Linked DNA regions of Drosophila melanogaster. The protein of the gene in region 2 interacts with the protein of the main gene of each other region in a pairwise test. Each region holds a gene or a part of one and is shown on either strand. Other genes may lie near its edges.

What was found.
Region 1: the proteins of CSN7 (region 2) and betaNACtes1 interact in a two-hybrid assay, tested with the Drosophila melanogaster proteins (one large-scale study listed by BioGRID).

What each region holds. Positions count from the first base shown.
Region 1 is NC_004354.4:14,168,300-14,178,923, reverse strand, and holds betaNACtes1 (Nascent-associated complex beta-subunit-like, testis 1), read left to right. Parts: upstream 1-6,299; 5' UTR 6,300-6,382; intron 6,383-6,436; 5' UTR 6,437-6,453; coding exon 6,454-7,239; 3' UTR 7,240-7,437; downstream 7,438-10,624. Other genes in the region: CG11581 (uncharacterized protein), read right to left, coding at 973-1,977; CG1368 (uncharacterized protein), read right to left, coding at 3,396-3,953, 4,095-4,097; CG12480 (uncharacterized protein), read right to left, coding at 7,476-9,311.
Region 2 is NT_033778.4:8,416,282-8,426,961, reverse strand, and holds the start of CSN7 (COP9 signalosome subunit 7), read right to left. Parts: upstream 5,930-10,680; 5' UTR 5,852-5,929; coding exon 5,666-5,851; intron 5,606-5,665; coding exon 5,353-5,605; intron 1-5,352. Other genes in the region: CG43296 (uncharacterized protein), read left to right, coding at 9,256-9,338, 9,425-9,689. UniProt on the Drosophila melanogaster protein: Component of the COP9 signalosome complex (CSN), a complex involved in various cellular and developmental processes.

The DNA.
Region 1 (10,624 bases), on a different chromosome or scaffold from region 2:
AATCAATTCGGGCTAGTTGAAGTCTATAGACTTTTGAAACCAAACATGGGAGTTGAATAAGTCTGGTTTTAAACTATGGAAAAATCCCCTTTTCGATAACCATCTTAAGTTCACGAAAAGAAGTTCATTATCATAAATGTATGTATGTTCTTTAGGGGAAACTCTTTGACGTCAGAAACTAGTTTGGCAAATTAAAAAAAAAAAAAAAAATATCGCGAAGCTAAAATTAACTCAGAAGGTTCTTTGAATTTCGCTGAAATTAACTTAAATCGATTAAGTTTGCCCTTTAGGTGGGCAGCTTCTTTCTCTACCTCTTTTCTGTGACGTCAATTCAAAATTTATACATGTAAGACAATCATTTGAATTTATTCGTTTTTAAGTTGGATTTATTTTAGAATATGAAATGATAAACATAAATCCATTTTTAATGATCCATTGTTGTTGCATGATAAACTATTACTGCTTTTAAGTTGTGGATGTTTTTTTTTTTAATTCTTGTACCATTTTGTTTAAACTTAATTCCATCCAGAAACATATCAGAGTTCAATAAACCTTGATGGTGAATGTGCATAATTATCGTAGGACTTCGGTTTTAGTCCACACCCAAACCACTAATCGTGTTTTTTATTTCAGCCTTTAATCGCCTTGTATTGACTTTTGAAGACAACATAGTTTATGAACACATATGTGTCTGGCCAGGGTATGCATAAAACATAGGTCTGTCTATATATATGTATCAATCACGACGATAGATTGTCTCGTTTATGGTTATCAGTCAGTTTTGGCAAAGATTTCGATTAGCATAGAGACAATCGTTTTGTCTGTCCGCATCTTTATGGCCAGCAGATCAAATAAATGAATAAAAACAAAGGCACAAAAAATACAAGAAAAAAAAAAAACAAAATATGGATCATAATTTATGGCGAACATGTTTGATGAACTCCCCAATTTGGGGCTTCGAAAGCCATCGCATTACTTGGCCCTCTTGTAGACATAGCCGCCATTGGATGCGTAAACCGTATCCGCCACACTCTTGGGATCGTCGGCCGATGGTGGTGCCACTACTGTCCTCTCACTGTCCTTTGGTTGCTCCTTCGCCGGCTCATCGGAGTAGCCCGGCGGAGCGGGTCCTCCGAAACCGGGTCCAAATTGTTGGTAGGGATTCTGGCCGGGCACAGGTCCGCCGAATCCTGCGGGCACATTGAATCCTGCTGGACTGGGTCCTTGGAAGGGACCCTGGGGATTTGTGAGGGGAAGTCCCTGGTTTGTCAAGAACTCCGGTGGATATGCGGATCCTGGGAAGGGCCCTCCCTGTGGCGGGAAGTTACCTCCTAGGAAACCATTGCCCGGTATTCCCTGTGGCCCGAAGGCACCTCCTTGTGATGGGAACACTCCCTGCTGTGGTGAGAAGGGAGCTCCTTGCGTTGGGAATCCATTGCCAGGGATGCCTTGTGGCTGGAAGCCAGCTCCTTGTGGGGGAAACCCACCTGCCTGCGGGAAACCACCTGGCTGGGCAAAATTACCAGCTTGCGGACCGAAAGGACCACCTGGTGGCAGTTGGAAGGCCGCATTCGTAGGACCCCCTGCGAATGCGCCTCCATTGGTAGGACCCGCCGGGAATGCACCTCCGTTGGGATAGGCCGAAGGCACTGGCCCAATACCATGTCCTCCTCCCTGCTCGACAGGACCTCCGCCGAAGCCGTAGAATGGTGGATAGATGGGCAGAGGGAAGTTTGGCGGCTGGACAGGCTGTGGCAAAACGTTGCTGCCCGTGGGAATGGCATAGCCCGGCGGCAGTGGCAGTCCAGTCGATGGATAGAATCCAGATGGATCCTTCTGCACCTCCTGGCCATCAGCAGCAGACCGTGTGGTTGGCTCCAGTTCCGCACTGGGCGGTATATATTCCCTGGGCAGGTGACTCACATCTCCGTTGATCAGGGGCAGAAGTAGGACCACAACGGCCCATGGCTGCATCATCTCGAGCTCCGGTTTGATCTCTGGGAACTTGCACGGCGACGGTGGCTATGCGGCCACGGGCCCCAAATCCGCCATATATAAGACGGCATATCAACATATTACATAAATTCGCGGCCGGCTCATTTCACTTTCGCATTCGGCGAACGGAAATTGCTTTGCATCATCACAAAGGTTCCATAAATAATCGCCAATCCAAAGGTGATCGAAGGTGCGAGGGGAGGTGCCAAAACTGAACTATAAAATTTAATTTAGCGGCCGGATTTTACATAAATAAACTAACGCCGAAATCGAATGTTAAATTCAGCATCGCACAAAGAAAAGAGGCGATAATGAAAAAGATTCAATAAACGAAAAGAAAGAACAATGAAAGGGTAACATTTTATTTGATTTAGATTCAAGTTCTTGCTCAGCTTTATGATGAATATTAAATTTTAAAAATTACTACCTGAAAGCAAAAGGGTGTTAATTAAAAACAGGAAAAACGTCGAGGAGGTTCGTTTTATTTACTGTAATATACTAAATAATGGTTTTGAATGATTTCAAAAAGTCTTGAGTAAATAATTTTTCAGAAATGCCAAGCACTCTCAGAAAATGTATCTGCAAGTCATAGTTTTGAAATACTCAAAAGCTTAGTGTTAAAACTAGGAAAACCATAAAGTTTCATGCTATATTTAAACTAAAAGCTCTTTGAAAATGCTTAAAATAGTCGCAGCTTCCAAGTTTAATCAAAGCTGCAAGCTGTTTATAAAAAGCCCAACTTAATTAAAGCTTTATATTATATTTTTTAACGCTAATACTTAGTTAAAACATTGATGTATGTTAAATGTTTATGTTCTTGTCCTACAGGTTTTAGTGTTAACTAGTCGAAGAATTAAGCTTTTTAATTTTGAAAATTACCATTATAGACTAATGCCAATAAATCTTCTTTACTTTGTATGGACATATCATTCGTATACTTTATTATATTTTTATTGGCTTATAAAGTGCCACCTTTTGTCTACTCTGAAGTATTAAGCACCAACAAGCACTTGCTTTTGACGTTCGATTTTGAAAACGAACCGCACTCAAACCGCATCAAAACCGCAACAAAACCGCACCTAAACCGCAACCAAACCGCACTCAAGTCGCGCGTGGTTTTTAGTACGCTATTTTGGTATCCTGGTCCGGAATTTTGATATAAAGTGAATAGGGATACACTTGTTAAAAATTTTATTAATATTAATATTAGACGCTTGTTTTTATAACTCTGAAACCCATTTTAAAAACAAAAGTATTTATTTGGATTATTGATGTTTCGGTTTATTTCGTTGTAAACAAAAGTTTACAAAACAAAAAAAAAAAATATATGGTTAATTTGGGCAGTATGTAGTTATGGACACTGTTTCGTGTTCAGTTGCAGGCCTCTTCGTTGAAGATCCCTACTTCCTGTAGACGTAGCCACCGTTGGAGGCGTACTGGGTGCCCACATCCACGGAGGGTGCAGAGTAGCTCACCGATGGGGCGGAGTAGCTGACGGCAGGAGCGGAGTACGACTGCTGGACAGCAGGGGCGGAGTAGCTGACCGATGGAGCGGAGTACGACTGCTGGACAGCAGGGGCGGAGTAGCTGACCGATGGAGCGGAGTACGACTGCTGGACAGCAGGAGCGGAGTAGCTGACCGATGGAGCCGAGTAGCTCACAGAGGGTGCCGAGTAGCTAACAGAGGGGGCGGAGTAGGTCCTCTGGACAGCTGGTGCGGAGTAGGTCCTCTGGACGGCCGGTGCGGAGTAGGTCTGCACAGGAGGCAGGTACTCGTTGCTGGGGGCGACATACGACTGCTGGATGGCTGGAGCGGCGTAGGTCTGCTGCACGGCTGGTGCGGAGTAGCTCACCGAGGGAGCGGCGTACGAGCTCTGGACGGGGGGCAGGTACTCGTTGCTCAGGTGGCTAACATCGGCGGCCACGCAGGCGAACAGGGCGAAGGCAATAAGGAATTTCTGCAAGTAGGACAACACACTTCACACATTACAAACACAGCAAATTTTTTAAGCACCGCAAAAAAAAAAAAAATTTTGTCAAATAATATTGTTAAATCGATGTATCCTTGTTTCAAGCTGAACTTGTAATCCTTCACTGACCATCTTGAGTTGAGGTTTCTGCGTTTTCAAGCGACTGTGCTGGATGAGCTAGAGGCTGCGACTGATGCCGGTCCCTACCAGCCGCCAGTCAATTTATAGCTGCCGGCCGTCTTCGAAGAAAAGCCCCGGTTTTGGAGAGCCCGTTCCAACTGCAGCGGTGGCACACCGGCACTAACGGCAGACGCCGGGCAAGAAGAAGAGCAGGCTTAAGCGGCCAGCGGACCAAGAAGAAGCCGCCGCAAAAGACGTCACCATGAAATCAAGACAAACAAACGGCTGACTGGTGCTGAGGGGCTGAGGGGACATAGCCACATAAGTTGGCAGCTAATTGTGAAAACTGTTAAAAAGTTTAAGTATTTTCAATTAAGAATATGCTTCACTTATAATTGTTTATGTACACCAGACCGTTTGCAATGTTCAATTAAGTAGTAGTGGTAGCACAATGCAAAATAAGTAATAATATAAAAGATTTAGATACTAACATTTGAGCTAATCACCTATTTACAACTTAAAACTGCCGACTTGTTAAATATTTACTTACTTCTTAAAAACTGAGTTTTGAAAAAAAAATGGTAACTTGAAACGTTAACTAGCATAGATCATTGGCAGAGCTTACTTAGTTAGATGGTTTTGGCAATAAAATGGCTAAAATGGCAACACTAATCAGGGCGGAGGTTAAAAAGCATATATAGGGAGGGGGCTGGCTAAACTACCAAACGGAAAATCACATTAAAATTAAATTCAACATAAAAATCGAACGAAATCGCACATGCAAACGGGTTTGGCTCATTTACGATATTATATTTTTTTCCATCCACGCAACGGGTTTGCGGCGGGTGAACTACTTTGGGACACCTTTTTGTGGTCTCTTCAATCTGGCTTATTAGCGTCGGACTCAAGGGGAATGGAGGGAGGGAGGGGGGGGGGGGGGGTTTGTGCCGCACAAAGCCCAAAAAAAAGGGGGAAAAAAACTAAGGGGGTTCCACTAATTAACATTCAATTTAACACATTATACACCGGAGCAACCATTTTTCTTGTTTCAACCGCAGAAATGGGCCGGCGCACAAAAAGAGATCCATTTGGCCTCGTTCGAGACACTCGCCCAGATTGATGGCCCCCACAGAACGTCGTGTTTCGAAAAACGGAGCCCCACTCGCACTTTCTAAAAACCCATAAACACACAAAACCCATCAGTGGAGACCGACAGAAGATGGCCTTGAGAACAGACGCCGGCCGCCAGAGTTACGAGTTCCCCAGCGGTCTTTACATAATAAGTAACAACTTTTACTTGCTGCCACATCTCGAGCGTCTTTCCACTGTCCGTGAACTTGAAATGCAGCACAGCCAGAAATTTACAATTCAATAAATTTTTAGCAAGACCTTTGCAATTTTTGAATTAATATTCAAATCCATCAAACGTATTGATTCTCTTGCAACATTGTAGCATAGAAACATAAAGAGTAATTTTTTAAGATTATCTATGTATCATATTCGCAAGGTGGGTAACCTATTGACGATTTATAGCCCGTTCACATATGATTCGCCTGTGATTCGCCTGTGTCAATAATTAAAATCCATTTTTATATCGATTTCATTTATGATCACGTTGATGAATTATCTTCAAGTGTAAAAAAGGCAGGAAATGTCAAGCATGACGATGCCAAGCAAAATGTGATGGAAATTTCAGAGTTCATTGGTGATAACTTAACTTAACCATGGCCATTCTGAGAACTGCAAACAGTTATCCTTTTCAACAAGAGGTAATTAATGTTGGAAAATAGTAATTAATATTTATATATTAAGTACATTCATATTTCAACTTATAAATAAAATAAAGTTTCGATCTGGAATTGTTAGTATTAATTTTTTAACTTAAAACATACATTTTCCGAAAAAAGAAAATATACACAATAAAAACTATATTTCATAAAAATGATAAAAAAACATGCATAGTTAAAAGTTAATATTTATATGTTTATGTTTAATGCAAAATTGATTACTTGAGGCACGACGTGCGGTCATCTGCACCTAAGAATCGATGTCGACAATATCTACTCTAGATATTTATATATTCGAGTCTAGAGTTCCCATCTGCAAGGACATGACAAAGCTCTGGCAACCCTTTTAGCACGTGTCAAAAACTCAAAAAAAAAAGACGATGACTTTGCAGTCTAAAAGTCACATTTCTGATTTGGCGTGAGGACCTCAGTTGATTCACATCTCCAAGCGAATATTACTTAATATTATATTAATTAATATATTAATTTGTAAAGCACAGCATTTTCAAGGTGAGCATTTCAAGAGAATTCTTTTCCACGCACTTTACCCATACAAGTTAATAGGTTTTCCTAACGAAACAATGGATTTCAAGAAGCTGAAGAAAATGGAGGAGGTGGTGCGCATCGGCGGCAAAGGATCTATGCGCCGCAAGCATAAGAGATTCCCATCCTCGGCTGCGGCCGAGAAGCGCGTGCAAGCCACATTGGCCATGTTGCCGTTGAAGAATATCGACGAAATCGAGGAGGTGACCATCGAGTTCACCAATTCCAGTAAGGTTGTGTTAACCATGCCCAGGGTTCAGAGCACCGCTGGCAATTCTTTCTTCGTGGTTAGTGGCGATTTCGTGCGCAAGTCGTCAACAGCTGGCCCATCGAAAGTGGCCAAGGCAGCCAATGCGCCCAAGGCACCCATGCCACCTAAGCCACCCAAGCCGGAAGCTTTTTCCGACAAAAAGCCAGAATCAGAGGAGTCCATTAAGGTGGCCAAGAAGCCCAAGAAGCCGCGCAATCGTGTTCGTCCTCGCAACAAGAAGGTCCAAATGATGCTCTCCAAAAACAAAGAGGACGCAGCCATGGCTGGCTGGGATTCGGAGCCGAAGCTTAGCAATGGTAAACCAATTTTGATCTCCTCTGAAGATGGCAGCGATCCGGATAATGAGAAGGTGCCATCGGATGAGTCTGATGTGGATCGGACCATAGTCTGCGACAAAGATTCGCTGGGAAGCTTCGGCGATGATTCCGACGGCAAGGAGGACGTTGACACTACGGAGTCGATCTACCTGTCCTCCTACTCCAATTACTATTATTTGACGGAGCAGCTCTATCCAAATACTTATCGCGTTCAGGTCTCAGAGGACGAAGATTAGGCATATTCATTTGTTGCTACATTTGTACCAATTTCAAAAATAAATCGTATGAATTGAGAAAGTTGAGACAGAAAAAGGTTCCATATTCTATAGATTTGTACTTTAATCTCTTGGTGTTTATTGAAAGCATTGGTTTTCTCTACACTTATGGAAATTTTAATGATCTATAGTTCCAAAATAAAAAAAAGTTATAAATTTAAGATTATATTAGACTCTGTGGCTCTCAGTTATTTGTCTTAGTAAATATAGCCGCCGTTCGACGCGTACTGGGTCTCCTGGACGGATTTGGAGTAGCTGGCCTGCAAATGGGCAGGAGTAATGGTGTCGGCACCAATGGCCACGGGCACATGGGTATCGGGATTGAACTCCTCGATGCCATTCGATGTGGGTTCCTCGTACAGATGGGCAGGTGTGATCGTGTTCGCTCCAATGACGACTGGGGTTTGTCCCTGGACATAGGCGGCGATGGGTTGGGCGCTCTGGTAGGAACTGCTAGACGATCCGGCCACGATTGTCTTGGCCTGGCTATTAACGTAGCTCGTCTGGGAAACGGCGGATTGATAGGAACTGGAATCTGCCCCAGAAATAGCAGAGGCAGCGGTTGAGGCTACAACCGACTTTTTGAGTTGAGCTGGAGTGTATTCAGCGGGCTGGTAAGAGCTCGAATCTCCTCCGGGAACAGCCGCTCCCTGCTCTTGCTCTTGCTCCTGAATGTACTTGTAGTGGGCCTCTTGAACGTCCTGGGGAATGAACTTTTCAGGGGTGTAGGTATCAGCACCAATAGCAGCCGGAACTGGGGCATAGGTATCAGCACCAATAGCCGCCGGAACAGAAGCCTTAAGATGAGCTGGAGTGTATTCAGCGGGTTGGTAGGAGCTGGAATCACCACCAGGAACCACCTCAGCGGCCTTCAAGTGCTCGGGAGTGTATTCAGCGGGCTGATAAGAGCTGGAATCTCCTCCGGGAACAGCAGCTCCCTGCTCCTGCTCCTGATTGTACTTGTAGTGGGCCTCTTGAACGTCCTGGGGAATGAACTTCTCAGGGGTGTAGGTATCAGCACCAATAGCAGCCGGAACTGGGGCATAGGTATCAGCACCAATAGCCGCCGGAACAGCAGCCTTAAGATGAGCTGGAGTGTATTCAGCGGGTTGGTAGGAGCTGGAATCGCCACCAGGAACCACTTTGGCATCGACAGTGGCAGAAGAGGTCTGCTTAAGATAAGCAGGAGTGTATTCAGCGGGCTGGTAAGAGCTGGAATCTCCTCCGGGAACAGCAGCTCCCTGCTCCTGCTCCTGATTGTACTTGTAGTGGGCCTCTTGAACGTCCTGGGGAATGAACTTCTCAGGGGTGTAGGTATCAGCACCAATAGCAGCCGGAACTGGGGCATAGGTATCAGCACCAATAGCCGCCGGAACAGCAGCCTTAAGATGAGCTGGAGTGTATTCAGCGGGTTGGTAGGAGCTGGAATCACCACCAGGAACCACCTCCGCGGCCTTCAAGTGCTCGGGAGTATATTCAGCGGGCTGGTAAGAGCTGGAATCGCCACCAGGAACCACCTCAGCGGCCTTCAAGTGCTCGGGAGTGTATTCAGCGGGCTGATAAGAGCTGGAATCGACACCAGGAGCTACATCGACTGTCCTCAAGTGCTCGGGGGTGTATTCAGCAGGTTGGTAGGAGCTGGAATCACCTCCAGGAACTACATCGGCTGACTTGAGATGAGCTGGAGTATATTCAGCAGGCTGGTAGGAACTAGCATCGCCTCCGGGCACGACTTCTGCGGACTTTGAGTACTGGTAGGAGCTGGAATCACCACCTTGTACCACTTCCGAAGAAGAGGAGGAGGAGGAGGAGGGAGCAGATGACAAGGCGGTGAGTCCATAGCCTCCATCGGCGGCCAGTCCCAACTTAAGATGACTGACATCGGCGGCGGCAAGGCCGACAAAGGCCAAGGCAATGACGTAGAACTTCTGCAATCGGATTAAGTGGGTGTGGACAAAAGGGTGAGCTTGAGATAGATCAGGGTGGTGGCTGTGTTGACCGCGGTGGTTCCCCCTAGAACCGAAACTTACCATGTTTGGGCCAAATCTGTTGTTCAAAAGAGGGACGTTTCCAGTTTTTATACCCACAAAAGATTATGGGCCTATGCTAATTGGAGTTCTGTTTTGATCATCGCTTGATTTGGTCTGCCCAACTGCTAGTTTTTACCTATTATTAATTTGGGTTGCAAATTTGCATAGGTAGCATAACAAAAGCGGCGATCTTATCAACTTGATTAGAACCTCTTGGCATCCAAGCGCCTTGGCCTTTCCGTCAATTAAATTGTCGTCTGGTTTATACACTGTAAGAAAACTGCTCACATACATGGTAATTTCAAATTATTGGGATTTGGAATCAAAAGATCAACCGACATTGTGCTTCTTAGAATGAACTGAACTGATCGTTGCATTGGTTTTAAACATTTAGTTTGACAATTTAATGTTAAATAATAATATATCCTTCATTCATTTTTGTCTGTGTACTACAGTTGTACATCCTACAGATAGTATGCTAAAGCGCTTTTTAGCGCCTGGCAAGTTCAGCTGGGTGTCATAATCGGCTTGGTCCGGCAACCAGTTCTCCAACTTTGGCCAACAGTCTTAGATATGCCAATAAGTCTGCTAATTGGGCTTGGGGAAATCAATCGATGGATGCCTAAACATAACTATTTTGGTTAATTCGTATGACACAAGAGCGAACATGCTGTATACCCCGTAAAAGTAAAGCAAATAAGGTATACTCTTAATTTAATTTAATTATAAGTAATTCAGTGTGCCAACAAGAAATATCCAGTTTTGAATTAGTTACGCAAACATTTTGGCTGAATGAATTATAAAGATAACCTTTATATAAAGTTTCGGCAAACATTTTATGGGTAAATTTATTCGCTTAAACACGGTTCAGCTGATTTTATGGATCTCATTCCGCAAAATTAGCTTATCTTATTAACTTACTGACTTTCATAATAACGGTTGAAAGTGTGCAAAATCTCCAAAATACTTTGAAGCCAAAAGTGGAGCAATATAATAAGAAGACAAAAACGAGGTATTATATGACTACCGGATTCAAAAGTTCTGGCACACAAAAATCTAGCATAATTAACGAACATTGAACTGGGAGGGAAAAATTCGAAACTCGTTTATACCAAATCGGATATTTGTTTAATGATTGATTTTGTCAAAAAGATGAAAATAGATGGTCCGTCAATGGAGCTTATAACTTAATTGTATAGAAAATGTCTGAATTACTAATGATTGTGGCGATATTCAAATAATCATTATAAAAATTTATTTTTTATTTAAATCGGTTTACTTTAAATTTATAGGAAATAAATTATAATGTATTTTTT
Region 2 (10,680 bases):
TGCGCAATCAATCACGCCACCTTTATCCCACACAGCAAACTCTCAATCAATTAAACTGATTAGAAAATAGTTAGATGAGCGCAAATACAACAGAACGAAGCTGGCTACAATCAAGGAAATGGAAGCCGGGTTCCATAAATTCGAAAATCCACACAGCAGATTCCCAAGTGTTGGCCAAATACTGTGGTGACCCAGTCACACACAATGGGTAATCAAATAGCAGCGTATTAACTTTTGTTTTCAATACTTTGGGGCGATCTCTTTAAGCCAAATGAAAGTGGCTTTGGGGCGATTAGCTTTGTTTCTGACTCAATTGGCAAATAAATACACCGCCCAGCGGGCGTAAGCGGAAAATGCACTCTGCTGCGATGGCCGACATCAGGAGTAGTTTGGGTAATTAATTTGAAATCGTCGTTCGTCGTTTAGCTCGTAGCTGCTCTGCGGGATTACAATTTACAGCAAGCGGATTTGGAATCGTTTTCATCCGTGCCGACATGAGTCTGAGTCCCAGTTCCAAAGTCCCGAATACTGAACCCCTCTGCCTCTGCCACTACCTCTACCCCGATCCGAACTATGGCCCGAGGCACTAACTTGCTCGGCCGAGGAAGTGGCTAAGTGACAGCCGCCTCTCCGTTCGCCGGTTTTGGCCATGGCTAAGCCCTAGTTAAGTCCTTGAGCGCTCTTTGCCTTTGACTTTACGACCACTTGTGTCCTTGAGTCTGCGAGTCGGCGGAAAGTCGGACTCGGACTGGGGACGAAGTCTGCGGACCAAGTTTCTGTGTTTATGGCACCGACTTCGCGTCATAAATATTCACTCAAATATGCAGGGAATTCGCCCGAAGATTCAATTTCTCGCATCCACTCGCTCAGACGCCCTGCGATTTGGGTTGACAATTTGTCAGACACTTTTCTAATTAGCTGGAGAGTTGGCGCAAAAATGCTTATTGATTTGATGCCGTCGAGTGCGCCTCGAATAATTGGAAAACATGGGGGAATTTCAGATTCCGCTGTTGCGCGACGCCTTGGCCACAAGTGCTGTAAACTGCCTGTGGTTTTCCGGCGCTGACATGTGTCTTGTATTTTCAGCCATGTGAAAACTGTGGGCGCCTGCTGTCGCGTGCGGAAAATTCAACGCCAGGGCAATCAATCATGCTTACTGCTCCGCCCGCAAATTGCGGAAAAAGCCGTTGAGGGACAGCAGAATGAATCTTCGAAGCGGCAGAAGGCGATGATGTCAAACCGCCGACGGCTGTGGTTCTATGGCAAATGCTGATGAAAATCCAATGGCTGTGGCTGTGGCTATGGCTATCTGGAAATGAATGGAAACGTTAAAAAAACGCAGTCCGTGGTACAAAACCTTCAGGAATTTGACCACCACGGCGAGTGCTCTTTTGGTGACTCGGGAAAAAAGCGTTTGAATTTGAAGTTGCCATGAAAAGAATGTTACATTTCTAGGATTCGCAGTTTGAAAAGACAATTTACTCCGTTTTTATACGCTTCCTTCGCCACGTAAAGGAGACAGATCCAATTCTAAAATAAATCCAAATTCTTCATCGATTAGGCTATAACCGGCTGTCCTAAGTTAGATTAGTTAGTTCTAAATACACCTTAAAGAAGACTCTCAAAGAAGCAGACATATAGGCTCACATACAGACTTTTAAGTTATAGGACCTGTATTCATACCATTTACGCATTAAAAAGTAAAAGGATCCATTAGGACCCCGAGTTCTGGGGACCTGTCGCTGACAGCTTAGGCAACTCTTCAAACAGTTCCCCACCTGCCCCAGAGAAATAGAATTTATTAATTGAAATTCGGAGCAAACCCGAACGACAGCAGCAGGCGAGGACAAACGGCACAAGATAAAATTTGTTAAAGGCGTTTCCAGAAAAAGGGTTTGTTTCTACGCTGTCTGCCTTCCAGCAGTTATAATTGCTTAATTATTAAATCCTTCTCATTAAAACAGGACTTTCTTTGTTTCAGACACTATAAGCCCCTAAAATGGACACTGTTCGCAAAACAGTGAAACGTGCAAGAACGCATTTAGATTCTGTTTTTTTTTTTTTTAATTGTTAAGGAAACTGCCGTACGCAATACAAATAAAATTAGGAATAAATAGTTGTTTAAGCTCCTTACTCACTGATATAGTGCAGCAGCTCTTTTGGGAACCCCGGGGCTGCAACCGCAAGCTAGCGGACTGGAAACTTGTGCCATCAATATAAAGCTGCTGCAAAGTTTTCACCTAAAACTGACAAAGTGCTCAGCGCAGCCACCCACAGACACTCGCCCTTCTCAAAGTTTTCCGGGCAACCCACTGCAATGGGCTCCCGGCGCCGAAATCTATGCAATCAGAAGCAGCTGCAAAATCGGCGGGTCCCGAGGAGACGGATACGTCCGGATTTAGAGCGGGGGCAGCAAATTATGTCCGAACTGCGTCTCTTTTGGGTACTCGGCTCTGCGGCAAGGTCGCGGCTTGTTCATTAAGGTAAACTGGCCTTTGATGTAACAGCTTTTCAGAGGATAAAAGCCGCTTTCCATGCAGTGTTCCCGTCATTGGAACACTGTTAATTAACCGATTGCGAAAGGGGCTTACACTTTTTGCGGCCTACTCAGAAAATGTTATGCACAAGTGGCCAGCGCTTTGGTACTTCGCCGTGCATCCCCCAAACAAATTCATCCCACTTCTCTCAGAATTGCAAATCCCCCGGCCCGGTGGAAAGCTACTTCAAAAGCCGCTCTTAAGCACCCTGAATTATGCGAAACTTTTCTTTGACACACAAAAGAAATTAAAGAAGTGCACCAAAAAACTAAAATCAAGAAGGCGCATTCTGCGACACATTCTGTAAATCCCAGCAACTCGACACGGCAACAGCGAGGGTGCAATCCTCGGTGAACTCGGTGGCATTCCGAACCACCACTCTCGCCTCGACATGAGTGCACAAACTGTTTTGCTTATATTCGTGCGATTCCCAGCATACAGCTACTGGTGCCGGGATGTTATTGCATAAAAAGTAGTTCGAAGCAGTTGGGAAAATATTTGAAAATGCCTGGGAGATTGAAAACCACAGAGGCTGTTCTGGTGGGGAATGCTCGACTTATCGATTTTAGGAGCAGATGCCAAAGACTCTCGCTTACAATACATTTTTGAGGGCGGTTATCCGCACTCTTACTCTTATTTTTACAACTTAATTAACATTCGTAGAACTGCTATGAAAGAAAGAGCAAAGAACTAAAATACAAGTTAAAGCACATGATGTTGTCTAAATATCCTCAGAGGTAACAAAACTTAACTTGAGGGAATACTTATTATTATTACTTATTATTATTATATCTGAAATAAATTTAGGTACTATTAATGTAAACCAAACACTGAGCAAAGCCGAAACAATCAAGAGCTGTCCCACTAATGGAACGAGCCGAAATGAATTTCTGGCGAATTTGAATTCTAGAAGGCATTTAATTACCATATCCCCAACCCAGCGTCCTGGTAGACAAATGATGCTCTAATGGGATGACCTGGAATCGCGACGAGAGAACCACTCAACCTGCCCGCCGGCTAATGGAGGCCCCGCTCCGTTGCCAACTACATTAAATTGCGATGTCAGATTACGGCGCCTAATAGAACGCAATGATTTCGCATTCCGCCAGACATCTGGCACTTGGCCTCCTGCCACCCGCAATGATGCTCTAATGATGGCTATCATAACATAAATCTTCGCTGGGGCGGGGGAATTTATTTGTCTGTTCATTGCCTGGATTTGGAAAGCAATTAGGAAGGGCAGGTGAGACGATGTTGCGAGGAGCAGATGGCGTTGAGTTGTCACTTTATTTGCTTACATAATGGACGTCCAAGAGTCCATTAAAAACTTCTGCACGCTATTTGCTTATCCAGCGCTAATGTTCTGGTACGTATGTTTAGATTGTTTCATACGTCGAGTGGGCACTTGTCGGGAGCCGCTGAAAACCGAACAGGACTAACCAAAAATCCGCCTGAAAGGCTCGTTTTCCAGCCCCATATAGCACAGCCTCTGTTTGTTTTCATTCCGGTCCATAGATCACAGGCCAAAGCTCAAAAATCAACAGCACCAACAAGTTTAGCACCACATTCGAGGGCCCTAAGTATGCTTACACGGACGATGTTTCCGAGTGCGATATTTGGGCCCCGGCTTCTGGGTGTTGCGTTTGATTTAAGGCTTTCAGCAGACATACAATGCAGACTGGGTCCTCGGTCCGGAACTACAAGTGCAAATTGTGTAAATATGCAGCTGTGCCGGCGCACAGTGATGGATTTCAAGTTTCTATGCAACAGTGGGCAAATTATGCACATCATCTACCAACAATCGTCTCCTATATGCGAGTCATAGCAACAGCTAATTGCCTGTTAGTTTCAAATGCACAATTTAGGCTACAAGTCTCTATTAGGATTCTAAGAATTGTATGCACTGATTGTAATCGTATCAAATTACTCCTATTTAGGTACATACAAAACTACTAATGGTCAGCATCTTGACAAAAGATTTTCCCACAGTTGGAAATATTTACGATTTGTGATTCCTCACCTTACGCTTGGAGCAAACTTTTTATGTGGCAATTACGTAGCGAAGTTTGATTGTAGGCGGCCACCACTGAGGCGTGAGCTCAAAAAGGAAATCATCGAGGCAAAAGTGTTCATCCAGCTGACGACGTCGGCAACAGTAAAAACTGTTTCCCCGCGGGGATGAGTTGGGCAGAATCAACTGGTGGGGCGCCATAACGAGTGGCTTAATGAATCTTGCCGAGCATAATCCTCGTTTCTTCGCCCAATTGTTTTCGTTTGCCAGGATGCGCCAGCTGTCCCGGCTAATCAAGTGCACTGCCCAAAGGCGGTGGCCGGGGTGTGGTGGTCTGGAATGGGAGGCGCTAGACGGCAGCACAACTTTATGAATCTACTGCTTTCACAGCTGCTGGGCCGCCGGCGCAGGTGTACAGCTGCTGAAAAATGCTAATTGAACGAGGAGGCGCCCTTTCCATGGTGAGAAGTAGTCAAAAATTAGCATTTGATTTAATAATGCAAGCTGAGGAGCGAGGCAGGGTCGAGATTTGTCAGCTTGGCACTGAATTGGCTGGACTTTCAGCTGAAAAATGAATACGTTTTTAACCCAAAAGGAAAAGGAGGAAAGCTTTTTTTGTTGAATGCCCTAGTAACCGTGAAATCGATTTCATGCGAAAAGGGACTTTTTTTTTTGACTTTTGAGAGGTGGAAACAACTGTTTTATATGAGTTTTGCGCAAATAAAAGTAATGCAACATTGTATAGACTACATCGGGGCTGTAAAGTTGAAACCTAGTTGAATCTATCCACCTAGGCGAACTCACCCGCGTAGATGGCCTCTATGATGATATCCTCCAAGTGGCGGACGTTGTCGATCTCCAGTTCGCTGAGCAGCAGGGCATAGGGAATGCTCTTTGCTTTAATGGCCAGCGAGACGATAGTCAGGTGCTGCAGCTTCTTCTGCATGGCAGGAGTCAGCTCGATGAACTTTTCCGGCTGTGCACGGTATTCCTTGTATGTGCCGTATGCGAATAGGTTCAGGGTCTCGAAGTGCTTGGAGTCCGGACCGTCTTTAAGCTATGTGTGGTTTTGTGGTTGGTAAGTTACTGCCAGAATGTGTTTCATTGATGGACGCACCTGCAAAACGGATGGCTCCGCCAGTAATTCGCCAAAAACAAAGACATTCGGGGCTTCCAGGGCCTGGCGAATCACATCCAGCAAAGCGGCGCCGGTGGATGACTTGGCCAGGACACAGAACTTCTCCAGGAACGTCTCCTTGCTCTTGCTCGGCTCCTCGTTGCCCAGCAGCATGTCCTGCGTCATTTTGATAACTTCAAGTTGGATAATTTGTTTTTAAATTTTGGGATTGTTTTGATTTTTGCAAGCACAGTGCCAGTGTGACCGTTCATCGATGGCCAAATTATATCGACCGAAGTTTATCGAAGTTTCAATTCATTCTATCTTATTAGTGTAATGAGTTCTAACTATTTCTTACTACGCACATGACAGGACATACTTACGATTTAATTATTGTATATCTAGCCATAAAAACAAATTACAGTTTTTATAAAAATATTATTTGTGTTGCCCTATAATAAAATTAGTTTAAATTACAGTGCAGAGTAAATATACTAAATTTGGTACGGTAAACAGAATTAAGGTCACACTATTATGTCTCTTGCACAAGCTGACTGCCATAAAAGTGGGCGCCAAGCTTAAACAATCTGAAGTTGGTCAGGCCCTGTGTGAAAAAGTAAATTAAAAACTTAAGATTTATGCAACCTTAGCCACAGATACTAACCCGTTCATTATGCTTATGATTATTTTATGTTCTTTGGGGATACCTCCTCGTTCGCTACATTGTTTTTTTCTAATAACAGCCTAGCATTTGCACTCACCTCTTGGAAATGTTGGTCATTATGTTAAAGCAGGGCATCCCCATTTTAAAACACTTTTCGCTCCACATTCCATCCGGCGGCACACACAGACGCACCCTAGGGGGCTGTATAAAAAAAGGAGAGAAGAGGGCGGAAACGGCAGGCTGGGCCTAAAAAAATATATTCCTTGAGCTACTTTGGACTGCCAAAACTTTGCGCCAGCCACACTTGCTATTATTGCTGTGGGTAGGGGCGGATATGCGAATACGAGTATAAAAAGGCTAGGGTCAAAGTTGAAAACCCTTTATTGTGTCTGGGGGGTTGACTTCGGCATGGAAGTGGGAGTGAGCGTGATTGGGACCGCCATTCCCTGTATGAGATGCGCCAGCTCATCGATTATGAAAAGTTAACTAAAGGTCAGGGACCCACGGGGATACACACACTCACACACAGGATCTCACAGGAAAAAGGTGAGCCCGAGCCTTAAAGATACTGCGTCTGTTTTAAAATTGCCCACAGCACAGTGTTCAATTTTACAGCATATTTTCCACTTGTATCGCTTTGTTTTCCATACCTCTTGTAATGCCGACACTTCGACAGAAATTGACCGGACTGTTTTGTAATTTTTCCAATTGGATTGGCACGCCTACCGACCACTCTACCCACTCTACCCACCATCCTTCCAAATTTTATGGGATTTTGCCAAATTTGCCAGTACGCAGCCATTACAAAATTGGTTGTGATTTTGATTCTGTTGCGTGCGTTCGGCTGCAGATTCGCTTTTGGCTTCCATCCGGAGCGGCGGATGTGGTTCTTCTCCTGCGGCGACTGCTATCCGAATTGCATCCGGGATTAGTTTGCGTTTGAAACATTTTTGGAATAATGCGAAATCCCGCTGCCTTTACTTCGTTCGCAATTTTGCGGGTTGCGTGCGCAAAGTTGCGCCCATCGAGGATATTCGCTCGCCAACCGACGAAAGCCTGTGGCCATTCTTGCGATGGACCACTAGTGGTCAGCAGGTGGGGATTGGAAATTACTTAGAAGATTGGGCAGAGCGAAAAAAACGTTTTTGGTTTGCAACAGAAGAACACTAAGCTGAAATTAAATGGTAACGTTCAGGTTTCCCATGTTTCGGTATTAATCTATGAACAAATGGAAGTAACGAATACCAACTGAGAAATGGAACATATTATAAAAAAGATATAACATTTTAGGTTTTAAGTTAGTCCAGATGTTTTTGGTGGCATGACCATATACATATATGGTCTCTGGCTGGAATTTCCGCATAGGGTAAGCTATAGTAGACTTTCCGCCTTGCCGCTGATTCTCGCAGTTTTGAAAAGCTCTTTGTCACGGCGGCAAACTTTACCCGCTCTGCTCCGTGTTCTGGTTTTTTGTGGATTTCACTTTGTCATTAATTTGACGCACAATGAGTCGGCAGTTGGCAGGTTGTTCGGGTGTTCAGTTTCCCGGGATTTCAATCCTATTTCCGAGATTACCGAACGAGGGCGTTCAATTTCATTTGCGGGCAAAGCAAGGACGTCATTTGCCCAATTCATGTACTCCATCGTCGGTTCAGCTGGGACCGAGCTTTAAAATTAATTACACTTTTTGCCTTCTGAATCCATCATCGGCTTGCACATTAAAATCATTGGCGGGGATCACCCGCCCTGCCACGCCCATCGCCGCCCATGCCCCGCCCGACAATTTGCTTACTAGCCCATAAAAATGTATGAAAATAAAATATCAACACAGTTCGAGGGCCCCAAAATGGCCAAATAAAAGGAATCAGCCCCGCGAACGCGCGCCGCATGCAAATGTGGGTGGGGCCCCGCCGCCTCAGTATCCTTCAGACTGTCCTACGGCCGTATAACAGTGTACTAAAACGTGTCCTTGCCCCTGCCGCGGCAATTTGACCAGCAGCTGCGGCAGCGCTTTCGCTTTCGCCTTTGGCTTATCATTTTTTATCGGCAGGACAAAGACTTGACCTTCCTTTTTAGTGAGTTGGCTGCTCTGCTCATTAGGACTCAAATTGCTTTCCCCGCCTGCAACTGTGTGCGATTGAGCACTACCCAAAAAAATGTATCGATGGATAAACAGGAAATTGAGATCACAATATATTGTTCCTTTTTGAATGGTTGTATAAGTATTTTGCAGTTTGATCTTAACTTAGAGCCAAATTCTTAATGACTAAGCTATAAGGGGAAAGATTTAAAGGACTCATTTAGGCTTAGATAACATACTTCTTTTCTGCGAGTGTTGTACGCGATTATTTGGCTTACTGAACGTATTGTTATTGCTGCTGGGGCAGTAGCTCCGCTTATCGATGCAAATGACAGGCGGCCGGGAAACTTGAGCAACTTGGCCCATTTAGGCGAAACGATGTTAACTTGACCCAAATCACGGACTTTTCGCGCGACTCGAGCCCAGGGAGACACTGCTGGCACGGACTTAGGGAAAATGGCGTACAGAAATACAGCGTAATAAACAAGAGCCTTTGAATAACTTCATTCAGCGAATGCAGCCAAAGGTTGCACAAAGACTGCTGATAAAAATTCCCCCGCTCTGCGACAATTTACCAAGGATCCTTTTAGAGCCAAACTTTGTAGCGAAATTGCTATGGCAATGTGGGATGGAGCGGCGAAAAAATGCAATTTGTATCGGATTCTCGGACTTGGAGAGCAAAACGCAAATGGACACACGGAACACAGCCAGCTGGTTAATTTAAATTACAAATTGTTCGGATTCTCTTCCCGTGAAATTCCCGAGTGCCGACCGGACAAATCGAGCAGGGCCCACAATTAGCTGGAAACAAACTGTCAGTTGTTCGGTTGTATTGCAGCGATAACAATGTCACATCAAATTTCATCACAGCCCCCACTTTCGGCCACATATCCAGCCAAACGAGAACAGGATGTGGATATGGAAAACTGGTAAGCCACAGCGACCTTCCTTGGCGCAATCCCAATCTAGTCGAGCATGGCGTATTATTATAACGCTCTTTGTTTATATGCACCAGCGACGGGGAAAATCGGGGAAAAACTACTTGCTGTGCTGGCGATGAAAACACGGATACAAACCGATGTCGACTGGTGCCAGGCACAAGGATAACCCATGGGTGGTGGGTATGTGCACGAATCGATGAACAGCCGGGTCCTGGCCCAACTTGTTGCCAATACAATCAATTCAGCATGTCGCATATTATTCGAGCTGTCTCACGGACCGAAGGAAGTAAGCCAAATTTGCAACCGCAGGCAGGGATTTTTCGATTGGGTGTGATTTGATATGTTGCTACTTTGGCTTAGCATCAGTACATATCCTGGTAATGTCTTGTGACACCTAGTTTTAAGGTAAATATATATATACATATATATTTAATCAGGCTCCAAGAGGGACCGATTGAAATAAAAAATATCATTAGTCATACAATAGAATATGATTACAGATTGAGTTGTAAAGGCTTTAAGTTTAATACTTTCATAAAATTCTCGTTTTATTAGTTTTTATTTATTTATTTATTATGATAGATAGAATAGTTTGAAAACTAGACTAACTATATTTATTTACAATGTTATTATATCTTAATTTAGTTTATATCTAATTTGCTAACTAATTGCTGGCTTGTTATGTACAATTGCCTGTTTTGTTTTTAGATTTTGTGGTATAATTTGGTTTTTTTGAGGAAAAGTATGAGTTTTTGTATGTTATCTGGATTGGGTTTGCTAAGAAGGTCTAGAGGGTTGGTGTTGTTAAATATGTCTTGTTTGGTTTGTAGGAGGGATAGGCATGAATTTAATATGTGGCTTATTGAAATATCAACTTGACAAAACGGACAAGTTGGTATTGTATTGGGATTTAGGTAGTGTTGGTGGGTTATGTTTGTGTGTCCTAGCCTAAGTCGTATTATTTTTATTTGGTCGAGTCTGGTCCAATTTGGGTGAGATTGTTTGAGGTAATCGCATGTGTGTGAGGTATTCGTATTAATAGATTGGTACCATGGACTGCAGTTTATTATGTTTTCTTTATTTTTAGTCGCAAGGTCGGCTTTAAGCTGTTTTTTTTTTTTTATATTTATTAGTTATTTAAGCTATTTTGTTTGCAAGTGATATAACATTAAGTAAACATGCAGTGCGTAGTTTAAGCGACTTACCTTGCAAAGGTAAAGAAATGAGATTAGTTGCCTAATTTTCCGTCTAGTTTGTTACCCTTTTTTTAGGCGCCTGTCATTTGCTCTCTATCAGCTAAGCTGCAAAGCGGCTTCGTCTGGCCATATGT